Arabidopsis thaliana: one gene and its partners. The protein of the gene in region 2 purifies or fractionates together with the protein of the main gene of each other region. This does not show direct contact. Each region holds a gene or a part of one and is shown on either strand. Other genes may lie near its edges.

What was found. The genes of interacting proteins can lie anywhere in the genome.
Region 1: the proteins of AT5G55070 (region 2) and PHT3;1 purify together in Arabidopsis thaliana (affinity purification with mass spectrometry, with the first as the bait; one large-scale study listed by BioGRID). This does not show direct contact.
Region 3: the proteins of AT5G55070 (region 2) and HSP60 purify together in Arabidopsis thaliana (affinity purification with mass spectrometry, with the first as the bait; one large-scale study listed by BioGRID). This does not show direct contact.

What each region holds. Positions count from the first base shown.
Region 1 is NC_003076.8:4,530,129-4,535,034, forward strand, and holds PHT3;1 (phosphate transporter 3;1), read right to left. Parts: upstream 2,992-4,906; 5' UTR 2,838-2,991; coding exon 2,517-2,837; intron 2,155-2,516; coding exon 1,793-2,154; intron 1,716-1,792; coding exon 1,672-1,715; intron 1,546-1,671; coding exon 1,331-1,545; intron 1,205-1,330; coding exon 1,080-1,204; intron 992-1,079; coding exon 931-991; 3' UTR 515-930; downstream 1-514. Other genes in the region: AT5G14050 (Transducin/WD40 repeat-like superfamily protein), read left to right, coding at 3,411-4,906. UniProt on the Arabidopsis thaliana protein: Transport of phosphate groups from the cytosol to the mitochondrial matrix. Mediates salt stress tolerance through an ATP-dependent pathway and via modulation of the gibberellin metabolism.
Region 2 is NC_003076.8:22,345,422-22,351,670, reverse strand, and holds AT5G55070 (Dihydrolipoamide succinyltransferase), read right to left. Parts: upstream 4,461-6,249; 5' UTR 4,278-4,460; intron 4,047-4,277; 5' UTR 4,035-4,046; coding exon 3,978-4,034; intron 3,890-3,977; coding exon 3,818-3,889; intron 3,670-3,817; coding exon 3,615-3,669; intron 3,531-3,614; coding exon 3,512-3,530; intron 3,429-3,511; coding exon 3,361-3,428; intron 3,175-3,360; coding exon 3,100-3,174; intron 3,007-3,099; coding exon 2,951-3,006; intron 2,847-2,950; coding exon 2,802-2,846; intron 2,722-2,801; coding exon 2,458-2,721; intron 2,343-2,457; coding exon 2,248-2,342; intron 2,129-2,247; coding exon 2,038-2,128; intron 1,950-2,037; coding exon 1,839-1,949; intron 1,742-1,838; coding exon 1,547-1,741; intron 1,454-1,546; coding exon 1,262-1,453; 3' UTR 1,204-1,261; exon of another isoform or gene 844-1,203; intron 690-843; 3' UTR 503-689; downstream 1-502. Other genes in the region: RAN4 (ras-related nuclear protein 4), read left to right, coding at 22-95; AT5G55060 (Rab3 GTPase-activating protein catalytic subunit), read right to left, coding at 5,271-5,558, 5,730-5,870, 6,043-6,112, 6,205-6,249. UniProt on the Arabidopsis thaliana protein: The 2-oxoglutarate dehydrogenase complex catalyzes the overall conversion of 2-oxoglutarate to succinyl-CoA and CO(2).
Region 3 is NC_003074.8:8,667,060-8,673,092, forward strand, and holds HSP60 (heat shock protein 60), read left to right. Parts: upstream 1-1,712; 5' UTR 1,713-1,953; coding exon 1,954-1,991; intron 1,992-2,181; coding exon 2,182-2,335; intron 2,336-2,481; coding exon 2,482-2,641; intron 2,642-2,732; coding exon 2,733-3,004; intron 3,005-3,089; coding exon 3,090-3,194; intron 3,195-3,280; coding exon 3,281-3,367; intron 3,368-3,472; coding exon 3,473-3,562; intron 3,563-3,648; coding exon 3,649-3,729; intron 3,730-3,798; coding exon 3,799-3,867; intron 3,868-3,996; coding exon 3,997-4,074; intron 4,075-4,187; coding exon 4,188-4,283; intron 4,284-4,376; coding exon 4,377-4,476; intron 4,477-4,562; coding exon 4,563-4,666; intron 4,667-4,747; coding exon 4,748-4,853; intron 4,854-4,932; coding exon 4,933-5,011; intron 5,012-5,104; coding exon 5,105-5,219; 3' UTR 5,220-5,519; downstream 5,520-6,033. Other genes in the region: BLI (BLISTER), read right to left, coding at 1-77, 325-381; AT3G24000 (Tetratricopeptide repeat (TPR)-like superfamily protein), read left to right, coding at 5,715-6,033.

The DNA of each region.
Region 1 (4,906 bases), about 18 Mb from region 2:
AAAAAAAGATTATTCTTTTTAACCTAACCGCTACCGCCCGCAACCGCAAACGCTTGCGGAAAGGAGCTTTTGAAAACTGGCGATTTCGAGCGGTTTAAAGCGATATCTAGCGGTTTTTATGATTGGTGTCAATCGCTAACAACCGCTACCAACCGCAAACGCAGCGTTTGCGGGTGGTAGAGGGAGAACCAATCAAGTCCTTAGTCCCTCAATCGTCGTCGCTCAAAATTACTGGTTTGACAACAGATGGTTGGTTGTTAGAGCCTTTAGACGAATGGAATCCAATTGCAAGGGTACATCTGTTAATTGGGATCAAACTGTTAAGTAACTTAGTTGGGCAACAAAGCCCGTCTAGCTCAGTTGGTAGAGCGCAAGGCTCTTAACCTTGTGGTCGTGGGTTCGAGCCCCACGGTGGGCGACGTTGTTTTTTTTATCATATGTTTATTAATCATTTGCCTACATAATATTTTCCTTATGTTAGCGCTTAGCGGTTAAACGTATACATATGATTAGTATTCAAGATCTATCTATGATTTGATGTTTTAAAACGAGATTTTATATAATCTCTAAAACAAAAAAGTAAAATAATAGATAGAGCAACCAAAAGAGAATTTCAACTGAAACTGAATAAAAAGTAGTGAGTGGGTGTATGCCCACTCTCTCTATCTTGGAGTGTGTCCCTCTCATCTTTTAAGATTACATCACACAAAGAAAAAAAGGACAAGAAACAATAGGAAGAGAGTATGTAAAGAGAGAGAGAGCACTATCCTGAATTCAGGAACACAAATTTCAAAAAAAACAAAAATGATAAAGTTCAAATCAGGAAGAAATTGAGCTTACTCACTCTTCCTCATCACCGTATGGTTTCTCTTATTTTTCCAAACAAAAATCCTACCCCATCGAACTCCTAATAACCTTTTTCGTCATTGTTTAGGCTTTGGCTTCAGTAGCTGCGATGGCAGGAGCTGGAGCAACACCACCAGTGGTTGGCCTGAATACCAAATCAAAAGAATTGAGAGTTTTGCATTTTGAAGGTACAATTAAGGTACGAAAGTAAGTGAAGAGAGAGAGGAACTTACAGGCCAACAAACACTTTGAAGGCATCGTATAATCCCCACTGTGCTCCAGTCAACGTCCCGATCATCACAATTCTAAGAGGAAGCCCTCTTGTGAACAGTCCCACCATACCAATCTTCTTCACCGCCTGCAACATGTCATTTACAAACATTAAATATTATTTCTACCGTAACAGAAATCAATAGCTTGTATACAACTACCAAACCACAGCCATTCTAGCATTAGGCTATTGTATTCAAACATAGTGACTTACATCTCCAACGGTTGCTCCCTTAGCGTTGTTGAGGAATGACACTAGATTGTCTGCTGGATGAGAAACGATGGCACAGAACACTCCGGCAACGTAACCTCCGGCAAAACTCACTCCGAGTTGCAGACCTTTGCTGCACTCACTCTTTGGGTTGGGGATTGCGTACTTGTAAATCATCTCAACAATGGTCTCAAAGGAAGCAAACTTCATCATAGTGTCTGTAAAATTCATAGATATCATCACCACCTTTTGCTTTTAAAGAACTACATATGTTTCATCAATAAACAAAAAAAAAAAAAAAAAAAGATTGTGCAACAGGTTGCAAAATAGAGGCCAGAACTTACAAGGAATCTGACGTCCCCAGAGTGGAGCAAGACCCTTATACAAGCTGCAAAAAAATCAGAAATCAGACCAAAAGGCTAGCAGTAACAAGGGAGATAATGTTATTGGTATTGAAAAACTCACCCTCCGTATCCTTCGGACTTGATAAACTTGGGAAATCCATCAGACATCCCCCTAGCAAATCCAGGCTGTGTCTGAACACGAACCTTCACAGCTTCAAATGGGCAAAGTGCAATATCGGCAATGATCTCAGCAGAAGCAGAACCAGCAAGGTAGATGAGAGTCTTGTATTTGGCAGTGTACTCAGGTCCAGCAAGGTCAGAGTAAGTCTTCTTAAAGTACTCGTAGAATCCAAACTTGCAGGCACCCTGAGCACTGTAACCCAAAAGAGTAGGAACCCATCCACGGAAAAAGCCTTTGACTCCTTGCTCTTTCAGCAAAATTCCAAAACCAGACGAGATGCTCTTGTACTTCGCTGGATCAATCTGGATAACAAGATATATCAGTTTTGCAAGACCAAGTGAACCATTCAACACATAACACGTCAAGTAACAATATTTCGAAAGAAGAACCAGAAATCAGACCATATTAACGTATATTGAAATAGAATGATTCATATATAACATGGAAATGGATAGACGAAGATGCGTTTATCAGAGATCAAACAATTCTTCAGATATTGAAATCAAACACAAAACCAATAGTCAGGAAAACAACAAAGCGATAAAGAAAATCAAATCACAGATCTAGCAACACAGATCTCACTACCTAAACAACACAGGAACACAGATCCACAAACATGAGCTCAGAAAACAAACGAAAGACAACGGATCTAAAGGTTACATACCTGCATATTGCACTTGACGAGATCGAGAGGAGTCACGGTCATGTGAGTAAGACCACAGCTGAGAATTCCACCAAAGGTACAAGCAGCGTAGAAGGCAGGTGAATACATCTCGATCCCCTTCCCTGGCTCGGTGGGAGATGCAATAAGGAAATTCTTCCGAGAAATCATCGACGTAGGAGAGGAACGCGGGGCCGGAGAAGGAGATTTCTCGAATGCAGCGTTGGAGTTGGAATTGAGCACCTGGTCGAGGAGGAAAGATCTCGGAGATGAAGATGATGAATAGAGGAAGCTCGGGATCAGAGAATTCTTCGGAGATTCCATGGCGGCGGCGGAGGAAGGAGATGGAGATAGCGTTTGAAATGAGAGACGGAGGCGATGTTTGATTCCCGATCTCACTCACGCTTTGCCAAAACCAAAAGCACCAATGAGGTATTAACTCTCGAAACTCGGGCTTTATTGGGCAAATGGAATCTGATGGAACAAGGCATATACTTTGCGATAATTACGAAAGTGACATTGTTATTTTACCTGTCTTGGCCCATGGGCTTTTTCAAGAGACATAAGACCCGTTGACCCATTAAAGGGCTGTATTAACGACAAGTTCCAATTTTTATTTGTTTATCTTTTGTTGGAAAATGAAATTCTAAAACCCTAAAAAATCCAACCAGAAGGGTAGAAGCTCTCTCGCCGACAATTACCGGCTACAAGGTTTCTCTGCTCGTCAACGTTGTAAGTTATTTCTTCATTGTAATCAAATTTGTGCATGAATTAGGTCAAATTAGTAGCTTTTGTAGTAATTCTTCCCGAAATGAGAGCTTAATTACGGATTGATAACGAGCTTGCGAATCTTATCGTTGTTTGTTTCATGCAGCTCTGAATTAGTGGTATTGAAAGATGAGCTTATCTCAGAATGCTCCGAAAAGTAAGGGTATTAAAAGAGAGGAGCTCAAGAAACAGTACGAAGATGTTGAAGATGAGGAAGAGATTGGGTCCGATGATGATCTCACTAGGGGAAAGAGAAGAAAGACAGAGAAGGAGAAGCAGAAGCTAGAAGAATCGGAACTGGTTGAAATGAAAAAGCTTGAGAATTTGATATTCGGGTCACTCTACTCTCCTGTTACGTTTGGTAAGGAAGAAGAAGAAGATGGTTCGGCTTTGTTTCATGTAGACCGTTCTGCTGTGAGGCAGATTCCTGACTACGAGGATGATGGTGATGATGATGAAGAGCTTTCTGATGAAGAGAATGGTCAAGTTGTGGCAATTAGAAAGGGAGAAGCTGCCTGGGAGGATGAAGAAGAGAAACAGATAAACGTTGATATAGCTAGTGTCAACCGTCTAAGGAAGCTAAGGAAAGAGGAGAATGAGGGTTTGATCTCTGGGTCTGAGTACATTGCAAGGCTGAGGGCTCATCATGCTAAGCTAAACCCGGGGACTGATTGGGCTCGGCCAGATTCTCAAATAGTTGATGGAGAGTCTTCAGATGATGATGATACTCAGGATGGAGGAGTTGATGATATCCTTCGAACGAATGAAGATCTTGTGGTGAAGTCTCGTGGTAACAAGCTGTGTGCTGGTCGTCTTGAATACTCTAAGCTTGTGGATGCCAATGCAGCGGATCCTTCAAATGGTCCAATAAACTCTGTCCACTTCCATCAGAACGCTCAGCTGCTTCTCACTGCTGGATTGGATCGACGGTTAAGGTTTTTCCAGATTGATGGAAAGAGGAACACCAAGATCCAGAGCATTTTTCTTGAGGACTGTCCCATTCGTAAAGCGGCTTTCTTGCCCAATGGCTCTCAGGTCATTGTCTCCGGAAGAAGAAAGTTCTTTTACAGCTTTGATTTGGAGAAGGCAAAGTTTGACAAAATTGGCCCTTTGGTTGGTAGAGAGGAGAAAAGCTTGGAATATTTCGAGGTGTCACAAGACTCTAACACCATAGCTTTTGTTGGCAACGAAGGTTATATCTTACTTGTGTCTACAAAAACAAAAGAGCTGATAGGAACCCTAAAGATGAATGGTTCAGTTAGGTCTTTAGCATTTAGTGAAGATGGGAAGCATTTGCTGAGCTCAGGAGGTGACGGGCAAGTCTATGTCTGGGATCTGAGAACAATGAAATGCTTATACAAAGGCGTGGATGAAGGCAGCACTTGTGGCACTTCTCTTTGCAGTTCGCTTAACGGAGCATTGTTTGCTTCTGGAACCGACAGAGGAATCGTAAACATTTACAAGAAATCTGAGTTTGTGGGAGGCAAAAGAAAGCCGATAAAGACAGTGGACAATCTCACATCCAAGATAGATTTCATGAAGTTCAACCATGATGCTCAGATTCTAGCTATAGTCTCTACAATGAACAAAAACAGTGTAAAGCTAGTCCATGTTCCATCCCTAAC
Region 2 (6,249 bases):
TGTGTATTTGCAGGATTGAAGCTGTAGAGGCGGGAACTCAGCCACTCCTAATGACGAGGATATCATTTGAATTTAATACCTTATCGATTGAGTAATCATTTAATTAATTGTCGTTTTAGCTTTGAGTACTGTTTATGATTTATGAGACGAATCTATCCCGTATCTAGTTTTTGGTGATGATTGTAAGTACTGTTCATGTGGATTATATATTTGTAATTTACATGGACATGTAAGATTGAGATTGTGACTATATATATATATATATATATATATATATATATATATATATATATATATATTAAAATGGTATTTTTTTTCTTTGCAAACCCTTTTAACAAATAAAATTGTTATTTCTATTTGCATTTGCAAACCCTTTTAACCGTTCTATTTGCAGACTTTCTATTTGGACTATCTTACTTTCTTTGTCTTTGGGCTTCTTCTGTTGTAATATTTGTTTCAATAAAATACAGATGGAAAAAGACAGAAGAAACAGAACCGTTTGTATCTTCAAATATCTATGATTTACTACACGTTTACTTGTTCACTTTTTGTAAGATTTTAATTTTTAAGTAATACACGTTCTTATTTATTTATTTTAGTACAAAAGATTTAGCAACATAAAACGAGATTAATCTTACTATACGTGTTGTATTGCTCCTTTGAAATCGTCCATGTCCGCGTCACAAACCCTTGAAATCCAAAAAATCAAGTCTGACATTCCAATCGGAAGCAAGCATACAATTTAATGAAGAGTGAGATCAAATTTCAGTTATTGTTTAACTTTTAAAATGTCATAATTTTTTCCTTAATCCAAGTAAAAAAATTAAGGTGAGGAGGTCACATATATTTGTAATTTGTTTTTGATATTGGCTAAACCGATACTAAAGATATATCTTTCGGACAATTATCCCCTACAACAAGAAACAACCATACATCCTCAGTACCCCATAATGAACAATGCAACTCCATGGAAATGGAAACCATTTTTAACCAATAATTATCAGTGGCATTATTTTTTGAAAGTCAAAATTGTAACATTTTGTTCAAACTGTATGAATATTATAAAATAAAAGAAAACTCAATACACCGATGCTTTCCTCGCCCGGCAAAAACTCTTAAAACTATTAAGAAAACTCCAAAAAAAAAGTTTCGTTCTTTTTTCAAAGCATCATTTGCAGATTGCAGTATCCGTAATGGTTTTACCTGAAAGGAAACTGGTAAAAAGACAGAAACTTATGATCTCTTCTGTCTTGGATCTTTATCATATGTCGAGAAGAAGCCTCTGAGGATCTTCCACAACATCCTTAATACGGCGCAAGAAATACACAGCCTCTCTTCCATCAATTAGCCTATGATCGTAAGTCAGCGCGACATACATCATTGGCCTCGGAACTACGCTTCCTCCCACAACCATTGGACGTTGCACAATTGAATGCATTCCAAGAATAGCAGACTACGTATGATAGATTTATTTGCATTAGTAACAAACAAACAAAAAAACACCTTTCTTTGATTGGTTTTTAGTATTGCAAGGATCGAATCGAACCTGAGGAGGGTTGATGATAGGAGTGCTTATAAGACTTCCATAGACACCACCATTTGATACTGTGAATGATCCTCCTGCCATCTCATCGATTGATATGGTTCCTTCAGTAGCCTTCTTAGCGAGACCGTTTATTGTTTTCTCTATGTCAGCAAAGTTCATTTTGTCAGCATCTCTTATGACTGGAACTACAAGACCCTGGGATACAATACACAGAGAAGAGGAATCAATCAAAACTATCTCAAAAGCCCAAATGATATTATCACTCAATGTCAAAAGAATTGCGGAAACAAACCTTAGAGGTACCAACAGCGATACTGATATCCACGTAGTCTCTGTAAATGATATCATCTCCATCGATAACTGCATTTACTACAGGTTGGTGCTGGAGGGCACTAACAGCAGCCTGAAACAAATAGTTCAAGAAGATTACTTAATCGGTTGAGTCCTGATATGCTAAATAGTTCAGGAAACTTTTGAGTTTTTTACCATACCTTAATGAAACCAGACATAAGCCCCAACTTCACTCCGTGCTTTTCAAGAAAAGCATCCTTGTACTGAGATCGGAGCTTCATCAGATTAGTCCTACGTGAAGAAGGAAAGTTTTGTTGGTGAACTTAAGAGTTGGGTTAAAATTAGTGCACTAAGGGCATTTCAAAATGATAAAGAGACATATCAACATGGGGTTGTCAACTGTAACTCACATATCAACTTCATTGAAAGTTGTCAGCAACGCAAAAGTGTTCTGAGAGTCTTTCAACCTAGTTGCCACCCGTTTGCGAAGTCTTGTCATAGGAACCTGCATCGATGTTAGATGATATCATCAAATCTTGTGAACGTAAAATGCTTTTCTTTCATAGAGAAAACACACGGAGCATTATATAAGTAAAGAATAAATGACATAGTTTTCATACCCGTCTTTCCCTATCCTTAGGTGGAAGCTGCGGTTCTTTAGCTGACTGTTTGGATGGCGGTGGAGGTGGCGGTGATGGTGCCTTGGGTTTCTCTGCAACTTTGGTACTTTCAACTTTGGGCTTCTCAGCAGGAGGAGAAGGCTTGGGAGCAGGTTTCTCTGGTGCCTTTTCTGAGGGTGCCACATGAGACACAGCATCCGCAGATGTAGAAATTCTTGCAACCTTGTTTCCTGGTTCAACAGTATCTCCTTCCTTGACTAGAAACTGCAAAAAAGAAAAAAGTAATTGGGCATAGGAACACAAGAGAAGAACGACAGGAACATTAAAGTACACAAATAGTTTACCTCTTGGATCACACCACTTGCTGGGCTAGCAATATCTATTGTAACCTAAAGCACATAGATGAATCAAACACTAGTATTAGGAAAGCTACACAAGATACTGACCAACATCTATTGGAATGGAGATAATAAGATAAGTAATTGTTTGATACCTTGTCAGTTTCAATTTGTGCAATAGCCTCATCAGCTTCTACTCTATCGCCAGGTTCTGCAAGAACAATAAGCACATACAATGAAAATATTAGATACATAAATGCACCGGAAAGAAACGAGCAAGAAGATAATGTAAAGAAAAGCATACTCTTCAGAAAGGCGGCTAGGGTGCCATCAGTGATTGATTCACCCATGTGTGGCACAACAGCTTCCACGACATCCCCTTCAATCACATATACAAAAAAGTGTGAGTCAAAAAGCCTAGAAATACAAGTTACAATAACAGTAAAGAGCAAATCCAATTAACCCACACGGATCATAAGACTAAGCTCTGGTGTTCCAAAACATGGGACAGAAAAACCAAAATAACTTGACATAAAGGGAAAAGTTTCAGCTAGAGCAATCATACCACTATCAGATGAAAAGGGCCTGACCCATCTTTGCAGGGCTGTGCCTTGGTAACCGTTGATAATAGTCCTACACACATGAATATAACACTTTCAGCGAAAATGGTGAGAGAATTGAGTCTTATACATGAACAAAAGGACTGAGTTACCAACCTTGAACAGTCTGGACACCCTGCAAATAAGAGAACAATTGTCAAGTTAAAGATCTTAACCTAGCAAAACAACAAAAACAACAAAAAAAGGTAGTAATAATAACCTGGACAAGAACGGTGATGGAAGCTATGAGCATGGTTTCCACGAGGCACCAACGTCTGTACAATTCGTAATGACAGTTAAATAACTTGTTCATGGAAGAAGCATATAGAATCAACTAGTTAAACACATCCTAAGATGATTGAATTTATAAATAGCTGTCCACAGAACCAAAATCAAGCATGAATCATTGAACAAAAAAAGTACCTCTGTTGCTGAAACAGAATGAAATTGAGCAGACACTGCAACACGAGAGGATTGCAATGATTTTCCCAATCCCTGAAACAGAGAGAGAGATCAATTAGATAAAAAAAACTATCACATCGGAGAAAAATCAAATCAAAATGGTAACGAATCAAACACTAACCGAAGCAGAAGAAGAGCCTCTAATGGAAGCTCTCCTAAAAACAGCACGCAACATCATCGCACCAAATCTCTGTAACAACAAGATGTCGGTGAGATTCAACACTCGTAATCATAAACGCAACACAATCAATCAAAAATCGTCGGAAAATGGAATCTGTTCATCCTCAACACTACTTTCTCAAAATCAGAAACCTAAATCCTGCTATTATGGCTTTCAAAACATAAAAACTGCTCAGATTCGTGACTTTCAGCAACAAGACGAAAATGAAAACAAGAGAAAACCGAGGAATTGAAATCTCACCGAAGGGGTGGAGAGAAACTTGAGCGCCGAATGAGAAAGTTAGGGTTTGCAGAAATTATTGAAGGAGGAGAGAGATAGACAGAGAGAGGAACTGGAGAAAAGCATATGACCTTTCTCTGCTTTGAGCAAGTCACGAAAGAATATGGAAAATTCAGAGGATTTTACACGTGTCTTATTTCCTTGTGTAAAACGAATAATATGAACATTATTATTATAAGATCTCTGATTATTATTACGCTTCTAAATTTGGATTCAGTAATATGAACTCTCGAAAACGTCTGCGTTTTAGTAACATCAAATAGTCCATAGGCCCAACGGCCCATGTTATTTTCTTTGAGAAATGTTTTTTTTCTTTTTTTTTGCCATCACTTTGAGAAATGTTATAATGAAACAATTTACTTACAGTTACCAAGGAATTGATCAAACAACAACCTAAACATTAGGAAAAGTTTATTGTGGGAAAGTAACCAACTCTAGAGAGTTTTGATTTTTCTTATGTATATCTTGTGTAGAAACCTTAAGGTGCAAATGGTTGCATATGGATGAAAAATTTGAGTTGAAAAAAGAAATGAATAAAATTCAGTTCATTTCTCTGCAAAATAGGAGATGAACAAGTTGAGAAAAAATTCTTTATAATTAATTCATTTTTTCAACTTTTTAGGTTGAATCATTTTTCCAACTTATTTATCTTAAATGGTAAAAAATTGGTTTGAATGTTCATTCAACTCTTTCAACTTCTTAATTTTAGGCAACCATCTAAAACAGCATCTCAGAAATCTAATAATTTACACAAATGTTCTAAAAGCTTTTACACATCTTATTCATTTCCATTTATTTGCATTTCACCATACCTTCAGAAATGTTTTAAATAAGATAACTTTACAGTTACCAACCAATTGATCAACTTAACAACCTAAAACCCCAGAAGAAGAATACAAAAAACTGAGAAATGACTTAAAAGCAGATGAAACAAATCAAATAAATAATATGGATTCAGACAAGCGTCACATTTTCAGGTCTAGGAGGTCTCTTTGAAAACAGAGACGACTTGCCATCAAAAAGACTAGAGAATGATTGGCGTGGGCTAGGTTCGGTGCTTTTCTGTTCAGTTTCTGATGGAACTCTTGTCTGCTTTCTTTCTTTACTACCACGAAAGATGAAACCTAGCCGCTTAAACCGCCGTTTCGTTTCGCTGCCACTTGATGGCGACTCCTCTGTTTGTTTCATTGATCTCAAAACTTCTTCTGGACGTAATAACATTGTTTCCACGGTCTCGTATACCTATTATGACCAAATAAATGCAATTAGGATGTATGATTAGTGAGCATAATGTTCATATCCACATGGCCTTACTTTGGCATCTGATAAAACATTCTTAACTCTATTAAAGTGATAGATTTCCAAGCATGTAGATACGTTTTTGAATCTGTGCAAAGCTCTCTAGTAAAGTACCTGGCATAGATCATCAAGCTTATCGGTCCATGCGCCCCCCTGACAAATAGCGACTACATAATCCTTGCATTCAAAGAAAAGCTTTGACAAGTCATCGTTTGTAGCTAAAACTGGCTCCACCATCACAAACCCCAGGGAAACCTGAAATATTTTTAACCAATCCAATCGTCAAAGTGCTATTTACAGCTAAAACCTTAACTGTGTAACCAATGACATCCATTTAACGTAGCGCAAGTGAGAGAATTTGAGATTGACCTTACAGATAGAAAGCTTCACAAAAAGAAAAATACGCAATTTGTTGGGAAAAACTTACTAGCGAAGTAAACAGCTGCTCAAAAAGTTCAGCAGCTGGAATGTCTTCCAAATAATTCAAGATTCCTTCTCTGTATAAGTTAAATGAGAAATGGACAAGATCTCCATGAGTGATCAAATACAGATTTCACTACGTTTAAGAGGACATGCTATTGAAACTTACACAGCTAAATCTTCATCAAAGAGAGGTGCTTGTTTAACAGCAGGG
Region 3 (6,033 bases), on a different chromosome or scaffold from region 2:
CTATTATCAACAGGTTGTGTATTCTGTGATGCCTTTTTAGCTTTTTCTGCTGCTTTTCGTTTACGAAACTGCTCAAGCTGAAAATCCAGAAATTAAACGATAAGAAACACACAATTTTACGCATTCATCTTTAAAAAAAACAAGCTTTTTGTCGAATAAATCTCAATTCTGATTGCATGCGTTAGGACATCAATCTCAATTCCAATATAAACAACCCACCTAAAAAAAATGATCAATTGACTCAGCACCGACAAATTTTAGGGGCAAATTCAAAGTAACGAGAGAATCAAACAAAAGATGATGATTATGATGATGATGATCTACCTTACGGCGTCCAGCTTCAACGTCCTCTTGCCTCCGGGAACTAGTAGCTGATGCCATTGAAAAATACTCGAAATCTCGCAGAGGGAAATGTTCCCTCTCCAATTGCTTCAAATCAATGCTTTTTCAATTACCATTGAATCCGTTTTAGCCAAAGCCATTCCCGGAAATCGCCGTTGTTATGATTGAGGAGAAAACTCAAATTTCAAAAAGCCCAGATCCTGACGCACAGATCGAGAAGATATCGTTGAAATTTCGGGGTGGAGGAAACAGATGGAGATCTCGAGAAAACAAGTTCAAAAATCGATGGAATTGTCAAACAAAGAAATCGAAATTAGGGTTTTCGATCTGAAGGAGAGGAGGACGAAGTTCAAATATTAATTTTGTTCGTCAGATCTCTTTTTAACAGATCCCTTTCTTTTTATTTTCCCCTTCTCTGCTTTGAATTAAACGTTTTTACTCGTTTTTTTTTTTCTTTGTTTGGTTGCAATTTTTTTTTAACGTTCACTCATTGTTTGTTTGGTGAAATTTAGATTTCATGTAGCTTTTGATTTTAAAAATGTATAAGAAGTGTGTAATGTATTTGTTCATAGTCTGTTGTATTTTTTGAAAAATAAGAGAGAATGTTTAGGTAGTAAGAAAATTAAGAGAAAAAAAAATGGAGAGAAATGAGTCGTGATGGACACATATGACAGGTAAAGAAAATAAATAGGAGCATCCATGTGGCCCGTGGAACATGACGACAGCCCACCAAATTACTCATGTTTTTAAAGAGAGAAATTGACAAATTTTAATATCAATAGAAGCTTCAAATTCCTCTACTTTAGGACAACTAAAAGAGCAAAGTAATGAAGAAAAAAAGTGAAGCAAGGTCAACCTTTTGGTATCATCTAGGTGTTTATTATGGGGTTTGGTTCACTTTTTTGTTTGCATTGTTTGGATTTTGGATTTCTTTTGGAGTTCTATTTCATATTATCAGTTTTTATCTTTGCGTATTTAAGAAACTTTTACTGAGGTAAAATATTACACAAATTGCCACTGATTTTAGAGAACAAATTCAATTTAAAAAACTCGAAACACCGATTTGTTTTGTAGAGCTGAAGCAAACCTAAACCAAAAACCTAATCCAACCGGAACCATTTAATTACCGTTGGTTTTCTTTGGTTTGGTGTGGTTCAGTTTGATTAGATTCAAGGATATTTAGATCAAGCGATATAATTTTATTTTATTTTTTGGTTAAACGCTATATAAAATTTGACATGTATATTATGGCAAAATCACAAATGCTGGTTATCAAAAGATGAAAAAATGAAATCTGTTTCTTTGGGGCAAAAAATATTACAGAAATTAAATTGGAAAATGAGATTAACGACTTTTTTTTTTTTTTTTTTCGTCAAATGAGATTAACGATTTTTAAGTTTGAAATGAAAGTTAAACCCTAAAGAGGCCTAAAACCCTAAAAGGCTCATATAGTAACTAGCAGCTGCTTCTAGACTCTTCTCCTTCGCTTATTAAGCCCTCTCAACTCTTCTTCTCTCTCTCTCTCTCTCTCCGCCTGTTCTCCATTGATCTAATCTAACTCGCTCATCAGAATCATCTCTTCATCGTTAATCCTCTTCCTTCTCACTCACCATGTATCGTTTCGCTTCTAACCTCGCCTCCAAGGCAAGGTAATGAACTCACTTTCTTCGTGTTTTTTATTCACTCTCATTGGAAGCTAATGAGGAATTAAATCGATTTGGGTTTTGATCTACTCTCTTCAAATTCATCTGGGCTCTCGAAATCTACTAGCTTAATCCCGATTCTGAATTGCCAGTTCTGATAATAAAAATGGTGTCTTTATTGTTCTCTGTTCTTCAGGATTGCTCAAAACGCTCGCCAGGTTTCCAGCAGAATGAGCTGGAGCAGGAACTATGCAGCGAAAGAGATTAAGTTTGGTGTTGAAGCTCGAGCTTTGATGCTTAAGGGTGTTGAAGATCTTGCTGATGCTGTTAAAGTCACCATGGGTCCCAAGGTACTCTTTTTCTTCTACACATTTTGATTTGATTTGGACATGATTTGGCCAGAGGTTCCTTCCTTAGCATGTGATTTGGGTGACCGGTTGATTCTGTATCGAATTTGGTCTAAGACTTTCTGCTTTATGTGATTCTAATTTTGAAGGGACGTAATGTTGTGATTGAGCAAAGTTGGGGTGCTCCTAAAGTGACAAAAGATGGTGTTACTGTTGCCAAAAGTATTGAGTTCAAAGACAAAATTAAGAACGTTGGTGCTAGTCTTGTGAAGCAGGTTGCAAATGCTACTAATGATGTTGCTGGTGATGGTAAGATATTTCATTTTGATTGATTATGCGGTTCATAGTTGTAGAAACTTTGCAAAACTATGTACCAATGCTTGTTTAACTTGTCATGCAGGTACTACTTGTGCTACTGTCCTCACCCGGGCTATATTTGCCGAAGGATGCAAATCAGTTGCCGCAGGAATGAATGCAATGGACTTGCGAAGAGGTATTTCCATGGCAGTTGATGCTGTGGTGACAAACCTTAAAAGCAAGGCTAGGATGATCAGCACATCTGAAGAGATTGCTCAGGTTGGAACCATTTCTGCTAATGGAGAGAGGGAAATTGGTGAACTTATTGCCAAGGCTATGGAGAAGGTTGGCAAAGAAGGTGTTATCACAATCCAAGTAAGTAAATCGCCGAATGATTGCTCATGTTGCTACTTATATATTGGTCAAAACATAATTCTGACGTGGGTATAATGCATTGCAGGATGGAAAGACATTGTTTAACGAGTTGGAAGTTGTAGAGGGGATGAAATTGGACAGAGGTTATACTTCACCATACTTTATCACTAATCAAAAAACCCAAAAATGTGTAAGTTTTTTACTCCCTGCTCAATTAAGTTTCTTGATGTGTCATATCAATTATAGAAGTTACTGAATTGGAATTAATCTATGTAGGAACTAGACGATCCTCTCATTCTTATCCACGAGAAGAAGATCTCAAGCATCAACTCTATAGTGAAAGTGTTGGAGTTGGCTCTGAAGGTATGTCTACTTTATCTTTATAGTAAATCTGTAATCATTTTCTCATGTAAATGCTGTGTGAAAGGCATCTGATGTGGTTTCTGTTGTCCAAATAAAATCTTACAGAGGCAAAGACCACTATTGATTGTTTCTGAAGATGTGGAAAGTGATGCTCTTGCAACTCTTATCCTTAACAAGCTCCGTGCCGGAATTAAGGTTTGAACAACAGAAGCTCTTACTACCGTCTCCTGACTTTTAGCTATGACTTCTTTGCTTTTAGATTAATAGTTTCCTCCCTGCAGGTCTGTGCCATCAAGGCCCCTGGGTTTGGAGAGAATAGGAAGGCCAATTTGCAAGACCTTGCTGCCCTTACTGGTGGAGAGGTAGTACATTTGTTGTGTAATGTGTTAGTCTTGTCAACAATGGAATATTATTGACTTAGCTTGATACAGGTTATCACAGACGAGCTTGGCATGAATCTGGAGAAGGTGGACCTAAGCATGCTAGGAACCTGCAAAAAGGTAGCCTTTGAAACCTTAACTGATATAGACATGGTGGCTCTTAGTATGAACTAGATTTGGCTATTACATTCTCAGCATATCCTTGTTGGATTGTAAGTGTAGTTGAGACTTGTCTGGCTATTTGTATAGGTTACAGTCTCCAAGGACGACACTGTTATTCTTGATGGGGCTGGCGACAAGAAAGGAATTGAGGAAAGATGTGAACAGGTAATTTTTAACCTTATACCCTGATAAATTGGTTAGTAATAAAATTTGTATGCAAGAAATTATGAAGTGTATGAAAGTAGTTCGTTCTAATTGCTTGGTATTGCAACTAACAGATTAGGTCAGCAATTGAACTGAGCACCTCAGATTATGACAAGGAAAAACTGCAAGAAAGGTTGGCTAAGCTCTCTGGAGGTGTTGCAGTGTTGAAGGTTAGTCCATGTTATAATGTTTTGGGAGTCTTAGAATCATAGCAGCCTGGTTGTAAGTGTCTTGTTATAACTTCTGGAGCTAATTGTGTTTAGATTGGAGGAGCAAGTGAAGCTGAAGTTGGTGAGAAGAAAGACAGAGTGACAGATGCTTTGAATGCCACTAAAGCAGCAGTTGAAGAGGGTATTTTACCAGGTATGTCTCTTCCAGTGAGGAAGACTCTTTGATATAGTGCTAAAAAGTTTGCTATGTGCTAAAGAAACAAATCAAAACACTTGCAGGAGGAGGTGTGGCTCTTCTATACGCAGCAAGAGAGTTGGAAAAACTTCCAACAGCCAACTTTGACCAGAAGATTGGTGTCCAGATTATTCAGAACGCATTGAAGGTTTTCTATTCTTTAGAACTAAAATCCTCTGATCTGATAATTGATGACAAGAAATTGTTTTAACGAGTTTTGGTTTACCAGACTCCTGTTTACACAATCGCTTCAAATGCTGGAGTTGAAGGTGCTGTTATTGTTGGCAAGCTCTTGGAGCAAGATAACCCAGACCTCGGTTATGATGCTGCTAAAGGTGAGTTTCACAATCCATCATCACTTCACTTTTGTTCTCTCTGAAGATTGCATTTAGCTAACTGTGGAGAACAAACTAGGTGAATATGTGGATATGGTGAAAGCTGGAATCATAGACCCTCTGAAAGTGATCAGGACAGCTTTGGTTGATGCTGCGAGGTAAATAAAAAGCGAACACCCTAACTAACAATGTTCTTCTTCATTTCGATATATGAGTCTTAAGCTAAAACTGTATACTTGCGTTGTTGGCAGTGTGTCATCTTTGTTGACGACAACGGAAGCTGTAGTGGTTGATCTTCCGAAAGACGAAAGCGAGTCAGGAGCAGCAGGAGCAGGCATGGGTGGAATGGGAGGCATGGACTACTAGATCCACTAAATTCTGTCTTTTGTTTTCACCAATCACCATCTTAACTTGAGAAGAGAGATACGATTCTTTTAGGAGTTTTAGTCTTCGTCTTTGCCTTATTGTTGCTCAATAACCTCAAAAGTTTTACAATAAACAGAGCACACTTGGCAATGTTACGAGACACACTATTAGCATCAACAAATTTTCCTAAGGCATCATTTGTGTTTGTCATTGCTTCTGGTTCAGGTCTGGTACTCCAACAATAAACCGACCCTTCAAATTACAGTATTTATATATATACCCAAGTTTCATCGTAGTTAAACCAAGATTTAGCAAAATTAAGCAACCACTAACTGAAATGCACCAAAAAAACGAAAACCACAAAATCCAAATTACCATGAAATCGAACTGAAATATATTCCGGTTATATACATTGACACAAACCGAAGATAACCAAACTATTTTCAGTTATAATTCATCTCCGGTTAGCATCTTTGATGTTGTCGAGTGTCGACCATGGCATTGCGTTTCCCGCCTCGTCTCCTCTCTCAGCTGAAGCTATCTCGGCGTCTGAATTCTCTCCCGGCACCGGTATCTGAAGATTCCGAAGACGAATCTTTAAAATTCCCATCCAATGATCTTCTTCTCCGAACGAGTAGCAATGATCTCGAGGGCAGTTATATTCCCGCCGATAGACGTTTCTACAACACGCTGCTGAAGAAATGTACAGTCTTTAAGTTGCTCATTCAGGGAAGGATCGTTCATGCTCATATCCTTCAATCTATCTTTCGTCATGACATTGTTATGGGCAACACTCTTCTCAATATGTATGCTA